Linked DNA regions of Tamandua tetradactyla. The protein of the gene in region 1 interacts with the protein of each later gene in a pairwise test. Links are inferred from orthologs where the notes say so. Each region holds a gene or a part of one and is shown on either strand. Other genes may lie near its edges.

What was found. The genes of interacting proteins can lie anywhere in the genome.
Region 2: the proteins of PRR13 (region 1) and LGALS3 interact in binary tests that used the Homo sapiens proteins (3 or more experiments, as listed by UniProt). The two-hybrid records come from large-scale screens. The link is inferred for Tamandua tetradactyla from reciprocal best matches to the Homo sapiens genes PRR13 and LGALS3.
Region 3: the proteins of PRR13 (region 1) and SREK1IP1 interact in binary tests that used the Homo sapiens proteins (3 or more experiments, as listed by UniProt). The link is inferred for Tamandua tetradactyla from reciprocal best matches to the Homo sapiens genes PRR13 and SREK1IP1.

What each region holds. Positions count from the first base shown.
Region 1 is NC_135333.1:114,895,042-114,902,325, forward strand, and holds the start of PRR13 (proline-rich protein 13), read left to right. Parts: upstream 1-4,268; 5' UTR 4,269-4,396; intron 4,397-4,402; exon of another isoform or gene 4,403-4,622; intron 4,623-4,991; 5' UTR 4,992-5,011; coding exon 5,012-5,030; intron 5,031-5,411; coding exon 5,412-5,791; intron 5,792-7,221; coding exon 7,222-7,260; 3' UTR 7,261-7,284. UniProt on the Homo sapiens protein: Negatively regulates TSP1 expression at the level of transcription. This down-regulation was shown to reduce taxane-induced apoptosis.
Region 2 is NC_135338.1:10,966,064-10,973,827, reverse strand, and holds the start of LGALS3 (galectin-3), read left to right. Parts: upstream 1-4,750; 5' UTR 4,751-4,850; intron 4,851-7,764. UniProt on the Homo sapiens protein: Galactose-specific lectin which binds IgE. May mediate with the alpha-3, beta-1 integrin the stimulation by CSPG4 of endothelial cells migration.
Region 3 is NC_135335.1:112,330,740-112,338,264, forward strand, and holds the start of SREK1IP1 (protein SREK1IP1), read right to left. Parts: upstream 3,015-7,525; 5' UTR 2,903-3,014; coding exon 2,890-2,902; intron 1-2,889. Other genes in the region: spliceosome-associated protein CWC27 homolog, read left to right, coding at 3,497-3,538. UniProt on the Homo sapiens protein: Possible splicing regulator involved in the control of cellular survival.

The DNA of each region.
Region 1 (7,284 bases):
GTGTGGTTCTAAAATATAGACAGTCTTACTTACCCTTATGTTCTGAATTACTTCAACCCGAACCTGTTTGGCTTCATTCTTATCTCTAAATATCAGGTTATATAAATAAAACAGCCTCTCAAAATCCAGAAATAGTAATCACCACTCCAGACTGAATGTGTCTGCTCTAAAAGCTTACAATCTAGGCCCCTGCTTTCTTATGAACATTTTCTAAAGGTGACCACACCATTTTTGTTCTTTTGTTTCTGGCTTATTTTGTCTCACCAAGTGTCCCACATTGTTGCATGCCTCACTTTGTTCTTTTTTGTGGCAGCACAACCTTTGTTCATAAGTATACACCATCGTTCGCCAATCTACTTCTCCATCAGTGCATCCTTCAACCACCTGCATTCATTGGGCATCATGTAGAGGTCCCCAAGTCCACTGTCCATCAAATATTCTCAATTTTAGATAATTTCATTGTTCCCAAGAGAAAGAAAACCAATGAACACACCCTTGCCAAATAGGAAATCTAAACCTCCTCTTAACTCTTGTCACTCTCCCCATTTATTTACCTCTGCCGTTGCTGTGGTAGTGCTGATGGTTTCCTTTTGAAAATGGCTCATAACATGCAATAGCACTTTACCCCCTGTACCCTGGACTTAAACACTCTTTGTACAAGAATCATATCTTTGAAATAATTCTTGCGAGAACTGATTTATATTTCTAGTGTAAATCAGTGTGACACACAGGTCTATACAATACCTTTCGATCTTGTTCATCAATATGGTAATATTACTTATAGACCCACTAGAGAACCACCTTCACTCCTATCTATTCCCTTACATTGGAGTTCAACCTCATTAGCTAATGATTCACCCATCTCTAGCTTCTATGTATCTCTAAGTCTTCTATATTCTGTATTATAAGCCTTTGATTTTATCTTTATGCTGGTCATAAAAGTGGAATCATACAGTATCTATCCTTTTGTGTATAGCTAGTTTCACTCAGCATTATGTCCTCAAGACTCATCCATCTTGTCATGTGCACAGGATGTCATTTTGTCTTACTGCTAATTTGCCCCTTTTTAAAAGCCTTTCTATTACTGCTTTATCGCATTCTGGCAGCTTACTGACTAAAACATCCCATGTAGGGAAAAAGTAATGATTTTACTTGCACAGTTGGGCTTAGAAAGAGAGAGGCCACATCTTAGCAACAAAAGAGGTCCTCTGGAAGTAACTATTAGGCATAACTATAGGTAGGCTTAGCTTCTCTGCTACATAAATAAGAGTGACAAGAGCAAGCCTCAAGATCAAGGGCTTGGCCTATTGACTTGGGAGTCTCAAATATTTGAGATAATATCAGGGGTTTCCCCAGTGTATAGCTTAATAGTTCCATATTTTTTCTCCTGTCCCTCAAGGGACTTTGCCAATACTTTTAAATTATCTGTCCAACCTGCTCTGGGATGTATCCAGACATCACATTAAGCCATTAAAGAATTGCAAGCCCTCATTCCCCATTTGCCCATTTTTTCACTGGGTTATCTTTTTACTGTTGAGTTTCAGGAGTTCTTTATATATTCTAGGTTTTGATATATGATTTCCGATTTATGTATATTTTCTTTGGTTGCTTGTGCTCTAGTGTAGAGTCTAAGAATCAATTGTCTAATAAAAGGCCATGATAAAATTTCCTTATGTTTTCTTCTAGGAGTTTTATTTCTTACATTGAAGATGATCTTTTTTTTAAAAAAAATATTCATATTTAGTTGTGGTAAAATATAGAGAACATAAATATCATTTTAACCATTTTGTCAACAATTCTTTGGCATGAGGTACATCGATAATACTGTGCAAATTCTCCACTGTTTATTTCAAGATTATTTTCATCATCTGAAACCATAACTCATACTCATTTAGCAAAGCATCTCCATTCACCTTCCCCCAATCCCTGGTAACCACTATTCTACTTTCTGTCTCTATGAGTTTGCTTATTCTAATTATTTCATATCAGTGATATCATATAGTGTTTGTCCTTTTGTTTCTGACTTATTTTACTTAACATGATATCTTCAAGGTTCATCCATATGGTATTATATATCAGCAGTTCACTTTCTTTCATGACTGAATAATCTTCCATTGTATGGATACAGGTACATTTGTTTATCCATTGACCTGTTGATGGGGCAGTTGAATTGTTTCCACCTTTTGGTTATTGTGAATAATGCTGCAGTGAACATTGTTGTGCAAATACCTGTTTGAGTCTCGGCTTTCAATTATTTTGGTTTCTCTCCAACATTGTAATGCACATGGCAGTGTCTTCTTTCTCTTCCTGGTTCCATTGACTTCTAGCTTCTTGGTTTTCTCATGGCTTCTCTATAAACCCTCCAGTGACCAACCTGACACAGTGGTCACATGTAGAATGGTGCAGCTGCTTTGGAAGACAGTCTGGCAGTTCGGAAGAAAGAGTACTATATGGCTCAACAATTCTACTCCTAGGTATATTCTCAAGAGAATTGAAAATATATGTTCACACAAAAACTTGTACACGAATGTTCACAGCAGCAATATTCATAATAGTTCAAATCTGGAAACAATCAGTATTTCCATTAACTGATGAATGGATAAACAAAATGTGATATATACATACGATGGAATATTTTGGGGGACTAAAAAGTAATAAAGTTCTGATGCGTGCTACAACATGGGTGGGAAGGGGAATAGGAGAAGGGGTGGAGATTGACTGCTAATGGATATCAGATTTCTCTTAGGGGGGACAAAAATGTTCTAAAATTAGATAATGGCAATGGTTGCACAACCCTTTGACTATGCTAAATACCCATGAATGGTACACTTTAAACAAGTGAATTGTTTGGTGTGTGAATTATAGCTGTATAAAGCAGCTTAAACAAGACAAATAATTGTAAACATTTAAATTCTGAAAGGCACTATACCTATATAGATATATCAATAATTTCTTTCAAACTCAACAATCTTCCAAGAAAGTCATAATACACTTACATATAAATTGCCCTAGAGCTTTAAAAAATGTGGAAGACATTCCAATTAATCTCTGATATTTAGCATAACCCTCCCCCTGAAAAATCTATCAAATATACTATTGGTATGCAAGATATTACCATTGGGGGAAGCTGGGTAAAGGGAACATGGGAGTTTTTTGTTTTTGTTTTTGGGTGCGTGGTCCAGGAATCAAACCCAGGTCTCCTGCATGGAAGGCGAGCATTCTACCACTGAACCACCCGTGCACCCTAACATGGGAGTTTATATACTATTTTTGCAGTTTCTTGTGGGTCTAAACTTAACTCAAAAGAAACATTTTGAATCCAAAGGCTTTGGTTTAAGATAACAAACTCAGTGTAAAATTTATCTTTCATAGGAGATAAATATTGTATCTTGCAAATTTTGGACATATTGTTTTCATTATGGTTTAGTTCTAAGCATTTAACTCCCATCATGGTTTCCGCTTTGACCCGTGAGTTATTTGTAAGACTTTGTTGTTGTTTTAAATTTCCAGATGTATGTTTATATTTTTTATTTCACATTGTGGTCTGGACTATGGAACGTATTCTACAATTCTTTGAAATTTGAATGATTATCATTTGAGACTTGTTTGGCTTAGAACGTGACCAATTTTTATAAAAGTTCTTGAAGTGTTTAAAAAGAGTAACTATTCTTGAATTTTGGAGTGCATGGTTCTATATGTTCATGAAATCAGGTTTGTTAATTGTGTTGTTCAAAAAACGAAAAGAGGCTATTAGGGCAATTCATGTGAGAGATGATAGTAAGTTGGGAACAGGGAAGCTGGAGAGAAGTAAAGGGATTCCAGGTTCATTTGGGAGACAAAATGGACAAGTCATGGTGTTCCATGGCTGGAAGAGGTGAAGGAGACAGAGGTGTCAAGGATGATGTTTCTTTGCTTAGGGACTGAAGGAAGCCGACAATGTTGAGGGCTTAAGGCTGGGACTTGGCAGCCGGCTCTTCCCTAACGCTTTGTACTTTTGCATCACAACACCCAACATGGCGCTTCTCACACTACGCGGCTTTGCACGCACTACCGAAGGCAGGAAGGCGTTCCTTCTATGCCTCGCTGCTCCTTTGCCCTGGCCCGGCCTTCTTCTCGCCGGTCTCAACTAGCCCCACCCCCAGGAGATTACCTTCCTGCCAACTCGTTTGCACTGGTCTTGCCCTTAAATGGCCCAGCTCCGCCCCTGGTGCAATCATTTCCTCCTAGTCGGAATTACGGAGATTGACGAGTCTATTTTCCAATCATAATGCCGAATGACCACTTAGTTTCCAATTAGACGGTAGCAGAGGCGGGTGTTGAAGCATGAGATAAAGATGATCAGGAAGTGGGAGCTAAGGTTGCGACGGACTAATCAAGCCGAGGCGGTGCTGTAAAGGTGACGGAGCGTCTGGATTCCCCAGTTTCCTCCATTCTCCATTCCTGGGGCAGCGGGTCTCTTCGCAGCTTGGAACTAGGATCTCCATCCCCCCTTTTTTTATGGGGATGGGGGTGTGTCCAGATATTTAAGCGTTTGAGGATTTTTTTTTGAACCCCCTTCCTCGCTCGGCATCGAGGTGTCCTTCTCTTAGCCAGTGGTGGGGTCCTGCCTTCCCCTTCCCGGGGTTAGTAAAGTTGTTTGAGATCCTCCCTTGCCCTTGGTTAAAGTCCTCCCTACTCACTAACAGGGAAGGTGATGAGGGAACAGTGAGATTCGTGGACTCTGCCCCTCTTGTGAGGGGGATTGAGACCTCCAGCTGTGGCCAGAGGTAGTGGAAGGTGGAGGGGCAATGGGAACTAGGTTCCTGTGATTAGGGAGGGAACAAGGGATAAAATAGGCATTGAGGACGAAGGAACGAGTGGAAGAAACGTTTCTTAAGTGGAGGCAAGTGAGAGAACCCTCTCGGGCAGGAAGCGTTAGGGTTGGGCTGGGGCTCAGAATCCTCTTCCCAGCTCAGAGCCGTCCGCTTTTAGCCTCATTTCTTTCTCCTCAGGCTGGGGGAAACACCTGGACATGTGGAATCCCAGTGCAGGTAGGTGTTTGGAAGTCTCTTCTCCTATCCCCCCTCTTAACAGGAAGTTTCTATGTTAATTTTTCCCTGCTGCTCCTCTTCCCGCAAAGCAAAGTCCTTAGACTAGTGAAACCAGAGTTCACAGCTTCCCAGCTTCTGCTCTCCCCAGCCCTTCCAAGGACATTCCCTATTTCTCTCCCCTACTCCTATACTCAGGTGTGTCTATCCCATCCCCCCCCACCCCCATTCTCTTTCCTCATCATTCCATATCCCTTTAAGTAGTGGGTGAGAAACTGAGTTCCTTTGGTGTGTGTGTGTGTGTGTGTGTGTGTGTGTGTGTGTTTTGGTTGTTGCAAGAGGCCCTGGGCAGTTCTAATCTTTATTCTCTGTTTCTTTCATCAGGACAACCAGGGCCAAATCCGTACCCCCCCAACATCGGGAACCCTGGAGCTTCCAATCCTGTCCACCCACCACCTGTCAATCCTGCCTTTCCCCAGGGCCCCTTTCCCACTCCTGGAGTTCCCCAGGCAAATCCAGCTTTCCCCCCGGGTGCACTCCCTCATCCTGTGCCTCAACCAGGGTATCCGGGATGCCAACCCCCAGGCCCCTACCCACCTCCTGGTCCCTATCCCCCTCCATACCCACCAGCTGCCCCTGGCATGCCTCCTGTCAATCCCTTGGCTCCTGGCATGGTAGGACCTGGGATGGTGATGGACAAGAAGATGCGTAAGAAGATGAAGAAAGCTCATAAAAAGATGCACAAACAGCACAAGCATGGCAAGGTGAGGGTTTGTCTGAAGCCTGACTAGGGAGGGTGTGCCACCCTCAGAGGAACTGAGCAGGTGGGGGTTGGGTGAGGGAAGTTTACTGTCTGCGATCGTGGGGTGGCAGTTGTGGTTCTCTGGTAGATGATTCTTCCTTTTTTGTGAAGGATTCCCACTGGAAAGGAATCTGATACTTTTGAGAAGAATTCTTACGCTTATTAGGCCTCATATCTGGGAGGTACAAGGCTAAGGTTGAATATCAGCTCAAAAGCCACTCAGAACTTTGGCTGCCCTTTTCTGCCCCCGTGCATGTTGTGGCAAATTGGATATATCCACTGAAGTTGTCAGAATGTCAATAGGGTCAATTCTTTCGCAAAGCAAATTCTTATATAATATTTAACAGAAATAAAAATCTGGACCTCCTTGCTGAAGTTCCTTTCTCTCCTTCAGTTTTCTCCTGTTTGTTAGTTACCCGAGCCTTTTTGTCCATCAGGGAAACTGAGGACCTGAGCTAATGAGTGACTCTTAGCCTCAAACAAAGCCTGAGGCTAAGAGAGTTTCATGTTTGATCCCTTAAGGGCTAAGTATCCTTTCTTCTACAAGAACAGCTCACAGTTCAACTCTAGGAGGATTAAACCAATCTGGATCTCTTGGAGGCTTCAATTTACATCTTAAGGCCTAGTATTTATTTGCCCTGTGGATGTGGGCTCTAATTCCTGATTGTGGGTCTTTCGTGGAAATCAGAGGTGATAGAAAGGTGAGATTAAATGGGGGGAAAATTACCCCAGTGACTTAAAAATGGGTTTATTGTTGATTTGGAGTTATGTATGTGACAACCCTTGAATAGGCTCCCCTATTTTTTTCTGGAGCCTGACTAGGGAGGGTATGCCTGGTCAGGCTCCAGAAAAACACTAGGGACTGTGCAGGTAGGGGTTGGGTGAGGGGAGTTTACTGTCTGCAATCCGGGGTGGCAGTTGTGGTTCTCTCACTTTCCTCACTTTCTCCCAGTTGGGTTTGGGAAAAGTAGAGCTGCATGCACACACAACTGCTGTTTCTACTCAGTTTTCTTAAATTTGTAGCCACTAGGGACTTTTCATACAGTTAATCAATAAGTATTTGTAAGGCAGCAGCCGCTTTCCTAGCACTGTACTAAGCTTGTGCTTATTATTTATTCCTTGCCTAGGTATTAACTCAAGGTAAAGAAAGTGGAAACTTGCTTTAAAAGTAATGCATTAAATTCTCTGCAATGATTTGGAATGGTTTAATCCATCCCTGTTTGCGCTCTGTCGAAGGAAACCCTTGCCTTTTCTGTATACGGGAAAGTCTGGTTCAAGACTCCTGGAAGCAAGGGGCACTGGGTGGAGGGATGAGGCACCAAAGGTTGGCCACTGGGATGGTCAAAGGTCATTTGGATCTGATGCTATCTCCTCTCCCGTTTCCCCTTGCAGCATTCCTCCTCCTCCTCTTCCAGCAGTGACTCTGACTGAATACAGGGTCTGGACCCTTCCCTC
Region 2 (7,764 bases), on another chromosome or scaffold:
GAGGATGACAAGAAACCTTCTCAGCTCCATCAAGTGTGTCCTTCACATGGACATTTCCTTCTTACAGAGGAAAACTGGATGAAAGAATTTGCTTTTGCATACTTTATTATTTGACTAATTTCGAAAACCTGGTTTTCTCTTTGGTTTACATAGACAAGTCCCTGCAGATTTCTTTGGTGTGTTTTTTTGAGATCATTTGTAAAAGTTGGGACTTCTGAATTCTGATGCTGAACATGGATGAAAAGTAAATAATTTTCCCTGACAGTCAAGGCAAGACAATAGCACTGATTTATTTTCTCCACCAAAAAGAAAAGATGACGTTAAAAGAAAAGTATACATAGAATAATTTGAATTTACTATGCAAGATATATTAAGAAGTTGGCTGATAATGGAGTTGCTTTGAGACTAGTTCTATTTATCCAAAAAAAAAAAAAGCAGTCAATTTTTAGTCAGTTCTATGAATTGAATTCTTTACTCTTTTAGTTTTTTATCATCTTAAGGGGCATCAGAGGAAAGGGGTTGAAAACGATAAAATCTTACCCACTGTTGGTGGGAATGTCAAGTGGTACAACCACTGTGGAAGGCAGTTTGGCGGTTCCTCAGGAAGCTAAGTATAGAATTGCCATATGATCTGGCAATACCATTGCTAGATATCTACTCAGAGGACATGAGAGCAAGGACACAAATGGACATTTGTACACCAATGTTTATAGCAGCGTTATTTACAATTGCCAAGAGATGGAAACAGCCCAAATGTCCATTAACAGACGAGTGGCTAAACGAGCTGCGGGTATATACATACGATGGAATATTATGCAGCTGTAAGACAGAATAAAGCTATGAGGTATGGATCTTGAGGACATTATGCTGAGTGAGATTAGCCAGAAACAAAAGGACAAATACTGTATAGTCTCACTGATATGAACGAACATCAGTGAATGAACTTAGAGAATTTCAGTTAAGAACAGAGACCATCAGGAGATAGAAATAGGGTAGATTTGGGGTAATTGGAACCAAAGGGATACAGATTGTGCAATGGGACTGATTGTAAAAATTCAGAAATGGACAGCACAATACTACCTAACTGTAATACAATGTTAGAACACTGAATGAAGCTGAATGTGAGAATGATAGAGGGAGGAGGGCTGGGGGCACAAACGAAATCAGAAGGAAAGACAGACGATAAAGACTGAGATGGTATAATCTAGGGGTGCCTAGAGTGTATAACGATAGTGACTAAACGTACGAATTTAAAAATGTTTCTGCATGAGGAAGAACAAAGGAACGTCAATATTTCAGGGTGTTGAAAATAGATGGTAATTAATATTTTAAAACTTTAACTTATGTGTGAGACTAAAGCAAAAAATGTTTATTTGGTATGAAATTTATATTTTGACTAGTGCATCTCCTAATATGACTTTTGTGGACAGTTTAACTGAATGCTACAAGCACATGGAAACTTGAGTAGGGCATGAGATTTTGTAGGTTCGTCCAGAGTGATGTCCTGATAAACCCGAGTGATTTGAACAGTGAATAAAAAAGTATTTGCAAAGTCCCCTTGGGGGAATGGTGAGAAAGGGGGAAAATTCAACTTCCCCAAGTGGAGAATTCTTGATATTCTCACAAGCAGTGGGCACAACTGAAGCAAAAAAAAAAGGAAAAAAAAAACACAATAACATCAAACAGTCCACTGGATTTTTCTCCAGTGCTCACAAACTTGTTCACTTAGCAAATATTTGTTGAGTGGCACTTGGGAACATCAGTGAACAATGTAACAAAGTACTGTGCCCTCAGGGAGGGGTGCAGGAAGGAAAAGCAGGGAGAAATCAAGGATAACAAACACACATAGTAAATAAGTAAATTCTAGAGCTGATAAGGGCTGTGGAAAGAAAGAAAAATTAGAGGGGGTAAGAGGGGTTGGCAGTGGGAGGTGGTGGATTTGATTCTACATAGGGGGGGCAAGAGGACACCTCATGGAGAAGGTGACATTTGAGTAAAGGCTTAAAGTAGGTGACAGAGTGAGTAGATGACAGGAGGAGAGTATTCCAGCTATAGGGAACAGCCAGGGCAAGGATGCAAAGTCAGGAGTGCCACAGGAACAGCTTTTGGGGGCAGGAGTGGCTGGGGTGGGCTGAGCAAGTGGGAGGTAAGAGGAAGAAAGGTCAGAGTGAAATTCCAAATTAAAATGCTCACTTCTTTAATTTTTCCTTAGTAGCAATACAGCTTTATATATGACCTTATTCTTTGTCCCCTGACATTATAAGGTCCCAGGTAGCCAGTATCATGAGGCCACTCACATTGCCTAATATAATCCAACTTCATAGTTGCAGCCCATTGTCAATCATCCATTTTGCAAACAATCATTTACCCTCTTTTTTAGAGTAGCAAGCTACTGCTATTTTTTATAAAATGTAATTCAGGCTCTTCATTAATCTCTATCCCTCAATCACATTGTTTCAGTGAGATTATATCACTATCACGTTCCCATTTTCGATTTTTTATTTACTGAGTGCCCAAAACATAGACCACGTGTATTGTGTCACAAAATTCGATCACAAACACCAGTGGGCCAGTTCCAGCCAGGTCTCATTTGTCCTGCTTGAGGTTACGGGCTTCCCATAACACTTCGGTTCTTCTAAGAGCAGGGCTGTTCTTCCTCAGCAGGCCCCCTCTCCTGAGGACCCGTCAGCCGGGCAGCTCCAGCCTGCTGCAGCATCTGCCTGTGTCTGCTCTCCCCGCCCCGTGGGAGAATGCTAATGCCTATCCCATGGGGCTGTCTCTGGAAGTCTGCAGTGACAGCACTGCCCTGGGGTGGGAGTTAGCCTCCCTTCGGGGGACTGTACTCTGTCACCTGGGCCTTGATGCGGGCGTCTCTCAAAGCTTTCCAGATCCATCAACTTCTGGCCTACTCCCACTGCCTGGGGCTCCAACCAAACGAGCAAAAGAGGCTAGGCTGAGAGCGGGTGCAGACATTCCTTCTCTAGACTTGACTCCATTCTCTAGTACCAAAATCCTTTCCTCTAGCCCCAAATCTAAAAACTCCCAGGTGTATCCACTCAAGCAGTACGGAGGCTCTCTCACACATGCTATCAACCAGACACAGGATCCCAGTTTCAGAGAGGAGACTCTACTACTGAACTGAAATATCACACAGAAAGCACTAGAGATAAAGGGGTAGAAAGAGTAATTCTTCTTCATTCCCTCAGAGATCATTTTACCTTGTGGGCAGCCATTCTTTACATTTCTGAATGACCCTTCCAAGCTCCTTTTAAATCTACAACTTTCTGTGGCCTGGTGGTGATGGCATTTTGTTTGTTTTTGCTTCAGCTGGTTGAGCAGTGAATATTCAACACCTTATTTCTTAGACCCTGACACACTTTCAACTTGATCGATGTTATGATCACGGTCATATCTACTTTTCTGTGCCTCTGTTTTCTCACCTGTAAAATGGGGACAAAAATAACACCCATCTCATATAGGTATGTAAAGTACTGCACATAGTTCAAGAGACATAACTGCTCAATTAATATAGTTGTTTTAATTATTATCTGAATTAAAACAAACAGACAAACCTTGGACATACCTAACCATTTTACTCAGTTATTACCCAGTGAAGTGTTTGCAACCAAATATCACCTCCCTTCAGCAAGTACCATTATTTGCTGTAGCAACCTTTCCTACATTTGTAATTTTGTCCTTTCCCACCGTAACCAAAGGTAATTTTTGCATTTGCTCATTGTCCCATTCTCCAATCTGTGAGAAAACAGACATTCTGACTTCCTAAGATGTCATTCATTCTTTATTTCTTTTCTTCATTCATTAAACAAATATTCACCGGGATCCTACTACGTGCGAAACCTAGGGGCAGACGCTGAGGATACAGGGCTTACAAAGAGCAGAACGACCCCGCGTGTCCCCACATCACAGGTTTGCTGGACCCAGGCCAGGAAGGCGAATGAACACCTTCAAAGGGGAAGAATGTGGACACGTCTCCCTCAGCGGCTCAGAAAACTTTCTGACAGAACCTCCTGGTCACACTCAAATCAGTGTGATATTTTACGTACAGGAAATCCGTTTATTTGTATATAAAACATAATTACTTAAGAAATTTTTACGAAATTCCACATTTCTTACCCATTTACTCGTATAACCCACGTCAGCTTCACACAGACTCAGGACATATTTGAATCAGGAGCTCAGAATATCAAGTACGAACTCGGAAACTACTTCCTCAAAAAAAAAAAAAAAAAAAATCAAGCGTATAGGATGCAAAGTCAGGATAACTTTATGGAAGAGGTTTGTGGTTTTTGTTTGCTAAAATGCCTTTCTTTTTTTCCAGGGTGCAATTCTTGGGACGACTTTGATGCTGAGAGAGAGTTAAAGGTAAAGCAAAATGAGGGCGGGATGCGACTGCCTGGGATTCGGGCAGGAAATAACCGAACAAGGTAAAACAAGCAAGCGGGCCGCACGCAAAATCCCCCAGCGACCCAAACGCCCAAAACTTCGCAAACTTTCCCCGCGGGCCGTCGGCGTCCGCGGCGGAGTCCGACGAGCGCGCGGGCCATGCGGCCACGCCCAGTATCCCGGGACCGCCGGGGACGGACCCCGGGCCGCGGGCGTCGCCCTTCGTGGGGGCGGAGCCTCTGGCCCGTCGTCCCCGGCCGAGCGCCCCCCGGAGCGGCGCGCGCGGGGCGGACACCCGGGGGCGGGGCGGGGGTGGGGAACCCTGCGGCCGTCACGCCCCGGGAGAGGCGGGGCGGGGTGGGCGTATTTGAGGCGCGGAGCCGCCGTCGGGCCGGGAGCGCCCCGGGAGCGAGCGGGAGAGCCACGTAGCGGAGGCCGAGGCGAGGGTGAGCGGCGGGGCCGCGCGGGAGGGAGCGCGGGGGCGCGGGCGCCGCTCGGGGCGTGGCGGTTCTCGGGAGGGCTCGGCCGAAGCCGGGGAGGGAGGTTGGCTGCGCTCTGCGGGCGCCGTCCCGGGGCGGGGCGCGGAGCCTCGGACGTTCGAGGGGCCCGAGACGGGGCCCGAGACCGGGCCCAGGTAGCCACGACCGACGGAACTTCGCGCTCAGGGCGAGCGGGCGAGGCGGCGGCCGCTGGGCGAGCCGGGCGCCGGCCGCTTTCTGGGCGCTCGGAGGACGCACCCCGGCCGCACCCGGGCCCCACCCTCCCGCTGCCTCCGCCGTCTGTGGTTTATGGACGTGGAGTCTCTCGGAACCCGAGTTGGGCCACTTCCGAAACGGCTTGGTGCAAATGCAAGCAAGCGTGCTGCGGCGGGACCCCCGCATCCGACCAAGCAGCCCCCTCTCTTCCGGTATTAGAAACCAGGCGTAGGGCGGCTTTTGGGACCTGTGATCCCGCTGCCCGGGCCACTTTTATCTCTACAAGGAGATCTTGGTGAGGGCAGGAAAGAGTTCTAACAGGCCCAACAGTCCCGAGACAGGGGTTGCGGCCAGCTTTCTGAATGTGGATTCCACGGAAAAGGGTGCTGCCCTCCCCACCCCACCCCCAGGCGTCCGGAGCATGCGTCGCTTTTGCAAAGTCTGCACACCCTAAACTGTTAAGTGACTCATCCCTGCCCAGTTTGGCTACTTTGGGCCATAAAAGCTCATATCTGTGCTAGGGATGTGTCAGGAGCGGCAGAATTGTGCAGAGCCTCAGCTGGGGGGTTTTAAAACGTGTTTGAGGATATATTCTGAATTATCAGCTTATCAAACAGAAGTAAAAATGCGGCCACTGGCGGTTGGGTGCTAGATGCTAGAGAGACAGGCACCTATCGGTGGACTTGGGTCCCCCAGCCCTTCAGAGCCAGCCATTCCTATTTCAGATACTGTGGAATATTTGTAAAATGGGTCGTGGACAGTGAGGTCAGCTGGACTTCGGTGACCCAGTCTCCTTCTGGGATTCTGGGAAAAGAAGGGCAGGCAGGCTTTTTTAATTCTGAAGAAAATGAGAGAGAGAAAATGAACTACTTGGGTGCAGTGCATCAGAGAAAAATCCCACCATCTTCCAAAATTTTGATTTGTATGCCTCATGTTTAGAAAGTTTTCTAGGAAAAGTATTTGTTCCCATAAAAGTTAAAGTTTAATAATAAAAATTTATTTTCCCACGAAAAATGGTCTCCTTTTTAGCCTTTGACTTTGAATTTTTGGAATGGGACTTTCATTTCTTTGATGGTCCTGCCTCATCCTTGATCTTTTGGAGATTCGAGCTGGTTCCTAAATTCATGTTTTGATGGTTTAGAAGCAGCGCTTCTTCCATATCCTGGGAGAAAATTTGATGATGGTGCATGAATGTTTAGGGTTTAGAAGTGTTAGGAGGTTGCCTCATGAAGTAAAATAAGTAGCAGAAAAGGGGGCATTCTGCCCTGCCTGGTGGATTGACCCTCAAAGCTAGTCGTTTTCAAGTAGAATGGGAAGCCTCGCTCTACTGAGACTTGACTTCCTATCAAGAAGAAATGACTTCCTATCATTTAATCATTGATAGTTCGCAGTGCTACGGATACACATAGGAGCTTCAGGCAGACTTCTGATCTATTGCTAAGGATGTCAAGAGGGCCAATCTCATCTGTAATTTAGATCCTGTTTGCCTAGAACCTTCATGAACCAGACGCTGAGTTTCCACTGCGACAGAGACCTATCATCAGAGAGTATAACTTGAGTACCCTGTGCCGGCTTTAAGTATTAGTAAGCTTGTGAACTGATGGACCTGCAAACTCGTGGTAATTGAATAACTAACTCATGAGTTCTATTGAGCTCTGTGTGTGTAGTGCCTGAAGTGGTTCTTCTCATTAAATTCTGAGTAGGTAACAGAAGAGCCTTCCAGGGCAGTGCTTGCTGTATACTTCCAATTGCGTTGGACTAAGTATCATGTTCTCTCTTGACTACTGTTCAGCTTTTCCATAAGGGAAAAAGAACCAGTAACTGAGAAGCACAAAGTAATTTTGCCTCCCTTGCTCCTGAGGAACTAGCATGAGAAAGAAATCCCAGGAAAGGATGGGTCTCCTTCACCCCGCTTAACATGGGTTGTGGAAAGTGGACTTTCCCCCAGCTCCGCTGAGTGTTTCAGGAAGTAGACCCCCCCTTTGTGTTCCTTAGGGAGGAAAGTGGTGCAGGGTTCTGGGGTTCTGAGGTAATACATTCATCATCTACTTCCATTAACATTTCTGTAACGGTCAGGGCCCCTCGAGCAAAAATTTCAGAACTGTGCCTGATAACCCAGATGAGTGGGTCCATTGCTAGGGTGGCCTAGAATTGCATGGTACGGTAAGCTACTCGATGTTAAAGGGAAGAGCTACCAGCTACCAGCCAATGAAAATGATCTACATTTCGGCACCTGTTTAAGTTCCTCATTCTAAAGCTACACTGAATTACTGTAAGTTTTCCAAATATGGAGACCCAGGTAGGATTTCCCATTTTGGGGGTGCCTTGTCTTTCGTGCAGTGTTTCTTTTCTGGTTCTTCAAAATTCTCTGATTCTGGGAAGGCCAGAATGGAGTTTTCATATCTCTGGAGCAGGGAGATTTTTTCTTTTACATTTAATTGGCCTTCTCTCTGTAAACTGCTTCATCTGGGGGGAAAAAAGTGTAGCTAGAAATTTTTCAGGCAGCTAGATGCTAATTTTAAAATAGATGTCTTAAAAAAAATGTTCTGAGGTTGTCCAGCTTGATTTCAAAAGAGCATTGTTACAACTCTTTTCAAAAAAAGAGATCTGATGGTAGAGGTTGACATAACCCAAACAGCGTGTTCCCAGTTTTTGGAACACTTGT
Region 3 (7,525 bases), on another chromosome or scaffold:
CTGTAACATTGTGTCTTTCTGAGTGCCAATAGCATGTAGTTCAGTTCATGAAATCAATGGTGACATCAGGCCAACTTTAGATACAACTGTGGCCACAGACTGTAACATTGTATCTTTCTGAGTGCCAACAGCATGCAGCTCAACTAGTGAAATCAGTGGTGACATCAGCCAACTTTAGATATAACTGTGTCAATCTTTAACAACTGTCTTCCCATGGATCAACAGGGCTGATGTGGCTTATGAAGATGTCTGAGCAATCAGCTGTGCAGCCTTTCTTTCTCTCCTGGTCTCTTAAATAGTGATCTTCCCCAGGCTTCAGTCACAGGCTTACCTTTCACACTCTACACATTTCTCCTGAGCAGACTTCTACTCTCATGGCCTTAACACCTATTTAATACAGACATTTGGGTGGCACTGAATGACACCAAAATCATTGCCTCTTACCTCAGCTTCTTTGCTAACCTAAAATTTATATCACTAAATGACTGCTGGATACTCCCATTATCAACACGCCCCAAACTGAAGTTATAATCCTCCCCCTTAAAACCTGCTCCTTCTCCAATGTTGCCTACATCAGTAAATGGCCCTGCCCAAATGTCTAACAGTGATTTCTAGATAAATCACACTTCCTAGTGACGCTGCCTCCAAAAACGTATCTCCAATCTGTCTGCTTCTCTCCACTCCTATTGACACCATACTTCAGTGAGGAGTCATTGCAATTCACCAGAATTATTCCTAACTGGTGAATGCCTCAAACTATCTCCCCTCTATTGTGCAGCCAAAATGATCCCTTCAAATCATGAATCTGTTTAAAAACACATAAATGATCTCCAAACACCCTTAGGATAAAGTCTAAACTCCTTGTCATGGCTTACAAATTTGTTCAAGAGCTGGAAGTCACCTTTTAAGTTAATATAGCATGGCAAATGGATAAGAGCATGGGGTCTAAAGAAGCCAATCTGATCTAGCTCCATCCAGCTGTCTCACAACAGGCAAATCACTTGACTTCTTTGTCCCTCAATTTCATCCTCTGTAAAAACGGGATAACAGTATGTATCTCATAGTGCGGTTGTGAATGTTAAATGAGAAAAAATAACAAACCACTTGACACAGTGTCTGGAACACTATCTGACACATAGTAAATGGTCAGCAAATAATAGCTATTGTTATTATCTTTCTAGCTCATTTCTCACTTCTCTCCCATTTGTCCTTAGAGTTCCATCCATAGCGCCCAGTGAACCTCTTTCATCCTTCTTCTCACTGGTCCATTACATAAAGTCCCTTTGATTGCATGTTTCCCTCCATCCCCCTCTTCAGCAACTCTCTGGACTCCTCTGGGAAAGTCATCTGTGCAACTCCTAGATGCTCCCTAAGGTTCTGTACTTGTCTTACTTTCTAGTACTATTTTTTCTCTCCCTGTTAAACTGTAGGTTTTGTGTAAAAGGGTCCATGTCTTTCTTGCTTACCACTGAAATGGTTTTGTACCCCAGGAAACCCATGTTCTTCTTTCTAATTCAATCTTGTGGGGGCAGACCTATTGTTTGGGTGGGATCTTTTTGATTAAGTTGTTTCCAAGGAGATGCATCTCTGCCCACTCAAGGTAGGTCTTACTGGGCTTACTGGGGTCCTTTTAAGAGGGAGCCATTTTGGGAAAAGCTTAGAGCCGACACAGACAGAGACATCTGGAGATGCAGGAAGAAAACGCCCCAGGGAAGCAGTTTGAAAACAGAAGCCAAAGGACCAGCAGACACCAAGCATATGCTTTCCCAGCTGACAGAGGTCTTCCAGGCCTATCTTGAGTCAGGGTATCTTTCTTTGGATGCCTTAGTTTGTAAATTTTTAATGGCCTTAGACCTCTAAACTTGTAACTCAATAAATCCCCTTTATAAAAACCAATCCATTTTTGGTGTATTGCATTCTGGCAGTATTAGCAAACTAAAACACCGTTTTATCCCCAATGCCCACCACAGTGCCTGACACCTGACAGGCAGTAAAGCTGTCAGTGTATGAATGTGTGCATTTTTCCTCTCTCACAGCTCAGTATGTGTTCCTCTCAAAGCCGCAAGCCAGCAGAAAAGCACAGCTGTACCGTAACAGCTGTCCGCAGAACACACTTCAGGACAAGGCTGCCACAGGACAAACGCTTCTGAACCACAGCACTTCTCAGAATCCTATGCTCAAGTGCATTGTTAACCTCCAAGCGGGGGGCAGAGGGCGTGTATTTCTGCATACATCTCCTGCACTGAACGCTGTGGCACAGGCCAGTCTCAGGAGATGCTCACCCCCGCTGGACGTCTAAGGCAGACAGCAGCTGTGGGCGGGGAAGGCTCCGAAGCACTCGGACTGCAGGGTTCACGGGTGGCAATGAGCACCCTTTACACACAGAACCTGACACGGGGAAGAAACCGACAGGATTCACCCAAGCGCCTCCTCTGACCCAACGAGGCCCAGAAGAGCAAAGGGAACGGTCTGCGGCCACAGGCAAGCGGAAGCGCTGGAGGGGGAGCCCCGGGCGCCCGCAGGGCCCGACCCCACGCCCGCCACCACGCCCGGGACCCGCGGGGTCGCCACGCGCGCCCATTCGAATGGCATCTCTAAGCCACCCCGAAGCGACGGCCGAGGCCTGCCACCCCTTCGGGCCTCCACGGGCTGCCCTTCCTCCTCCTTTCCCCCCCAGCGTTTCTGCGGGGAAGACGCCTGTCCGCGGCGGGGAGACGGCTTCCGCCCGCTCTCAGCGTGGGGCTGGGAGCCGGCACTTGCTGCCCCCGAGCCCCGCAACCCAGCGGCGGCGCGGCGCCTCCGCCCGAAGGCGCCCGGCATCGTCCTCTCCCATCCCAACCGCCCCCTCCCCGCTCCCGCTCCCGTCCGAGCCCGGCAGGCCGTCCTCACCTGGGATTGCCATGGTGCTGGCAACAGGGGGTCAAGGGTGCGCGCGTCCCGCCGGCGCGGGGACAACGCCCGGCCGAAGCGGCCTCGCCCTCGCCGCAGCGCCGCCGAAGCTCCGCGAGAGGCCCGGAAGGGCCGCTAAGCCCCTGGCGACGGCGGAACCAAGGCGTCGCCGCTGTGGTTTCCGGGCGAGTCACGGTGCAGCGAACATTTGGCCTGAACCATTACAGCCAACTCCTGAGGGGTGCGTGTGTGTGACCGACACAGGTGTGTGGCGAAAGTGAACACCACGAAGACTCAAGATGGTTCTTTAACTTTTTAAATACGAATAACTTTACGCTATAGACGCTGAAGACTCTTTTCTCCTTCCCTGGAGGATATCGGAATCCCCCTTATCGGGGTTAGCGGTGTTCGGGTCCGGGAGCAACATGGCGGCATGCGTGAGCGGCTAGGTTGGCGGGCCCAGGGCGCGGCGTCGCTGTCTTTCAGGGCCTCGGCTTACTGGAGCTCTCCGCGACCGCCTCCTCCAGGGAGCGTGAACTCCTCCGCGGTAGCGTTCGTTGACCGGAGTTTTGCGGACTTCGAAGTAGAGCCCTGAGCACCGACAAGGATGAGCAACATCTACATCCAGGAGCCTCCCACGAACGGGAAGGTGAGCGCCTCACCTGGGGCCTCTGGGCTCCCGGAAGCGAGCCCTCTCCCACTAGGAGGGCTCTGAGGTGTTCGGGATGGAAGAGGCCACAGGGAGTGTCGTCGTCCCCCTGTCTCGGGACGAGGCGTCGAAAGCCGTACTGAACACTCATAGCATGGATTGGAAAACCAAGAGCTTGGGTGGAGAGTTCCTCCATTGCCCTCGCCGCGGGGCCTTCTGCCCCCGACCCAACTCGTGCAGGCGTTTACGAGGGTCTTAGGGTTTTAGAAGCAAAATATGAAATTTAACATATTATTTTCTTGGCTTGGAGAGCTCTCCTTTTCGCATCCGTTCTGCAATCATTTGTTGAGTTCTTGCTGTGCACGGGTGCTGTGCTAGGCGCTGGGGATGCAGAGATGGGTAGGCCTAGTTACTGCCCTGGAAGAGCGCATAGTTAAGTTTACAAGACAAGCCCTAAAGAAAAAGCTTCCATATACGTCTAGTAGGCATCCTTGTGGAAACAGAATCATTGTTCTATGGCAGTACTGAGGAGTGAGCCGCTGGAAAAGTTAGGAAAAGCTTCTTGGAGCTGAAATTAAAACACGAGATAATTGCCAGTCAGAGAAAGTGGAGAATGGGGAGTGTTCCCATATTTGAATGGGAGGTTAGGGTCCTGATCGATTTGGTGGTCAAGGTACGTCAATTCCCATCCACGGTGTTTGTATGCAGTATGAGGCAGAGAAGTTAACGATGGGATTAGTGTCATTTGCATTCTTGAACTGAGACCTAGTCTATATCATATGTGAAATATTATGAAGAAAATAGTGGGACTTAAAGTATGTGGTTTGATTAGGGTAAACGAAATTTGCCTACAGTACAGTTCTGTTGCATGACTGTATCATAAATTACTTATGCAATCTTCTATTGATGGTCATTTGGTAATATAATGAGAGCAATTTGTAAACGTACAAAAAGTTTCTGTAATGAAATATCCTTGGCAAATATTTTAAGGGGAATTATGGGCAGAATTAATTCTTTGTTGTTTGACCTTCTCCTGGGCACTCCAGATTAGCATTCTCCCTTTCCCCCATGTCATTGTCAAAACCCCAAATAACTATCCCCTCGTTTTTCCAAATGTTTCTTGGGGATGATATTACCCCCAGGTGATAAAACCTGGCAGAAGATTGAATAAATTACCCATCTTGCCAGGCAGAGGCTTCACACTTGCTCTTCTCCTTGGTTTGTTCTTCTGCCTGCTCAAATGTCATCCTAAAAAAGAGGCCTTTCCTATTTGCCCTCCGTGATGGTTGGTTCATGTGTCAGCTTGGCCAGAGGGTGGTGTCCGGCTATTTGGTTAAGCAAGCACCATCCTGATGGTTCCTGTGAGGCCGTTTTGTGGACGTAAATCATCAGTAAATTGATTGCATCTATGGCTGATGACATCTACAGTCAACTGAGGAGATGGCCTTCACACTGAGAGATATATCATCCAATCAGTTCAAGACTTTAAAAGATGACGTGATGACTTCAGCAGTCAGAAGAATTTCTATCTCCACTTCAGCCAGCCGAGTAGAATTCCAAGGTTCCCCCAGAGAATTCATCAAAAACCTTCCCCAGATTTCCTGGCTTGTGACCTGCCCTTTGGAATTTGGACTTATGCATCCCCACAGTTGTATAAGACAATTTTTATAAAAATCTCATAGTATATATCTCAACAGATACGTCCTTTTGGTTCTGTTTCCCTACAGAACCCTGACAAAGACACCTTCTATGACATAGCATATAGTAGTCATGCCCTGCATCCCTGCATTCCCTGGCCCCCTGAACCTATTTTTCTGTAGTACTTATTTTCTTGTTTATCGTGCATCCCCTTCCCTCAGAGAATGCAAGTTCTCTGAGAGCAGAGATTTTGCTTTGTTCACTGTACTTAGAACAGTGCTTGATGCATAGTAGGAGTTCAAATATGTATTGCATAAATGAATGAATGTTATTTCTCTTAGCTTCTGAGAAGTATTAAGCGTCGGTGGGTTTAAGTAGACTGTGACTGGTTAAGTGCAGGCTGACTTGCTTTTTTGAGGAAGACTTAGCATGGTCATATAGATGAAAAGCTTAACAAGGTTACATGCCTAAATAGAAAACCATTTATTCATCAACAAATATTTTTTGAGCACCGAACACATACCAGGCTCTATGCAAGGTTTTAGGGATACAACAGAAAGAAAAAACAGCATTGTCCCTGTCATCATGGAGTTACCTTGGTGACATATGTGTTGACCAAATAATCATGCAAATAAACACGTAATTGCATACTGTGGTGAATAATGTTAATCTTTTGGACAGTAGTGGACTGAGGGAGAACCTCAGGCAGGGCCCAAGTTTTGTCCAAAAACAATTTGGGAACTTTAACAACATAAGGATTATTGAAGAGATTGAAGCCCTGAAGTTCTATACTGTAGGAAGTGTGGCAACTAAAGTGTACTGTAGAGAGTGTGGCAAGAATTTTGGTCTTGCAGGAATTTAAAGCACCTGTAATGACAAGTCTGCTCAGTAAATGTTTGTTTCATACCTGTGCTGTTTAATGGTGCATTGGTTTCTGAAAGCATTACAGAGATATCCAGAATCAATGGGAAAAAAATTCTTCTCTTCAAAGAACATCAAATCAGCTTGGGAAGCATAATTGACAAATAGCTGAGAATTGCACCAATGGTTGACCCTTGGCTGTTGTCCCTAAATGAACTATAACCCTCACACAGAAATGTAGCACCTAATAGAAATTTCCTGAAAGCATAGGGGATGATCCACTGAATTTGAAATTTCCACATATTCTGATACTTTATTCTAAATTGTATATTAACATATATATGTTCTTAAGAAACATGTTATTATTGAAATATTGTTTTATTTGGCAGCTTTAACAAAAAGAATCACTGAGAACTGACAAATACTATTGCCAAGGAAATCTATGGCCAAAGGAGGGCGATCCATGTGCCTTCTTCAGTAGTTTATCAGTGAAAAAATGAAGAAACCTTTGTAGGCAAGGTGACCATTTATTTACACATTCTTTTTGCTAGGTAAATGTTCCCTGTAGCAAAACAAAACAAAACAAACAAAATGTGTAAGAAGAGTACTTGCAGCAATAATGGTTACCATTTTCTGAAGATTTGTTGTCCTGTTAGGTGCTGTTCTAAGCAGTCTATACATAGAGAAAAAGTCGACATTCTTTTATTTGTATTTATTTCCTTTTTTATTTGTTTAAATGTAATATTTTTTACATGCAAAAGAACATATAAGTACAGTCATTCGTTAACTGTATATCATGATGATGTAATTTTTCCTAATGCCTAGCTAAATGGATTTACAGATGGTGGTATCTAGATTAACTAAACCAGTCCTTCAAATTTCATATTGAATATAGTATTAATCACATACATGAAAGAAAAGAGTAAGAAAATGATGGAGCTGACACCTCAGCATGGGAAGTCTTGAAAATTAGAAATTATCATGAAAACCATTTAAATATGGATTTTTATTTATTATTGTTAATGGTGAAGTTGTCTTAGGTTTATATTGTGCCTTGAATATTTATTAATGAGAGTATAAAGCCATCATGATTTTCAAGACATTTAAAATCTATGCATCTTGAACAGGAAGACAGAACTCTTCAATTTAAAAGCAACATTATCTTAAATGAAAGCAGTCAGACACAAAAGACCACATATTGTGTGATTCCATTTATATGAAATGCCCAGAATTGTGAAATCTATAGAAAGTAGGTAAGTGGTTACCAGGGGCTGCAGGTAGGAAAAATGGGGAGTGACTGCTGATGGGTATAGTGCTTCTTTATGTGGTGATCACATCTGAATCAGACAGTCGCAGTGATTGTACAACTCTGAATATACTAAAAACCACTGAATTGTATACTTTAAGGGGGTAAATTTTATGGTTTGTGGATTATATATATATATATATTGGTAAAGCTATAATTGTACTGTTAATAAGTAAAATTAA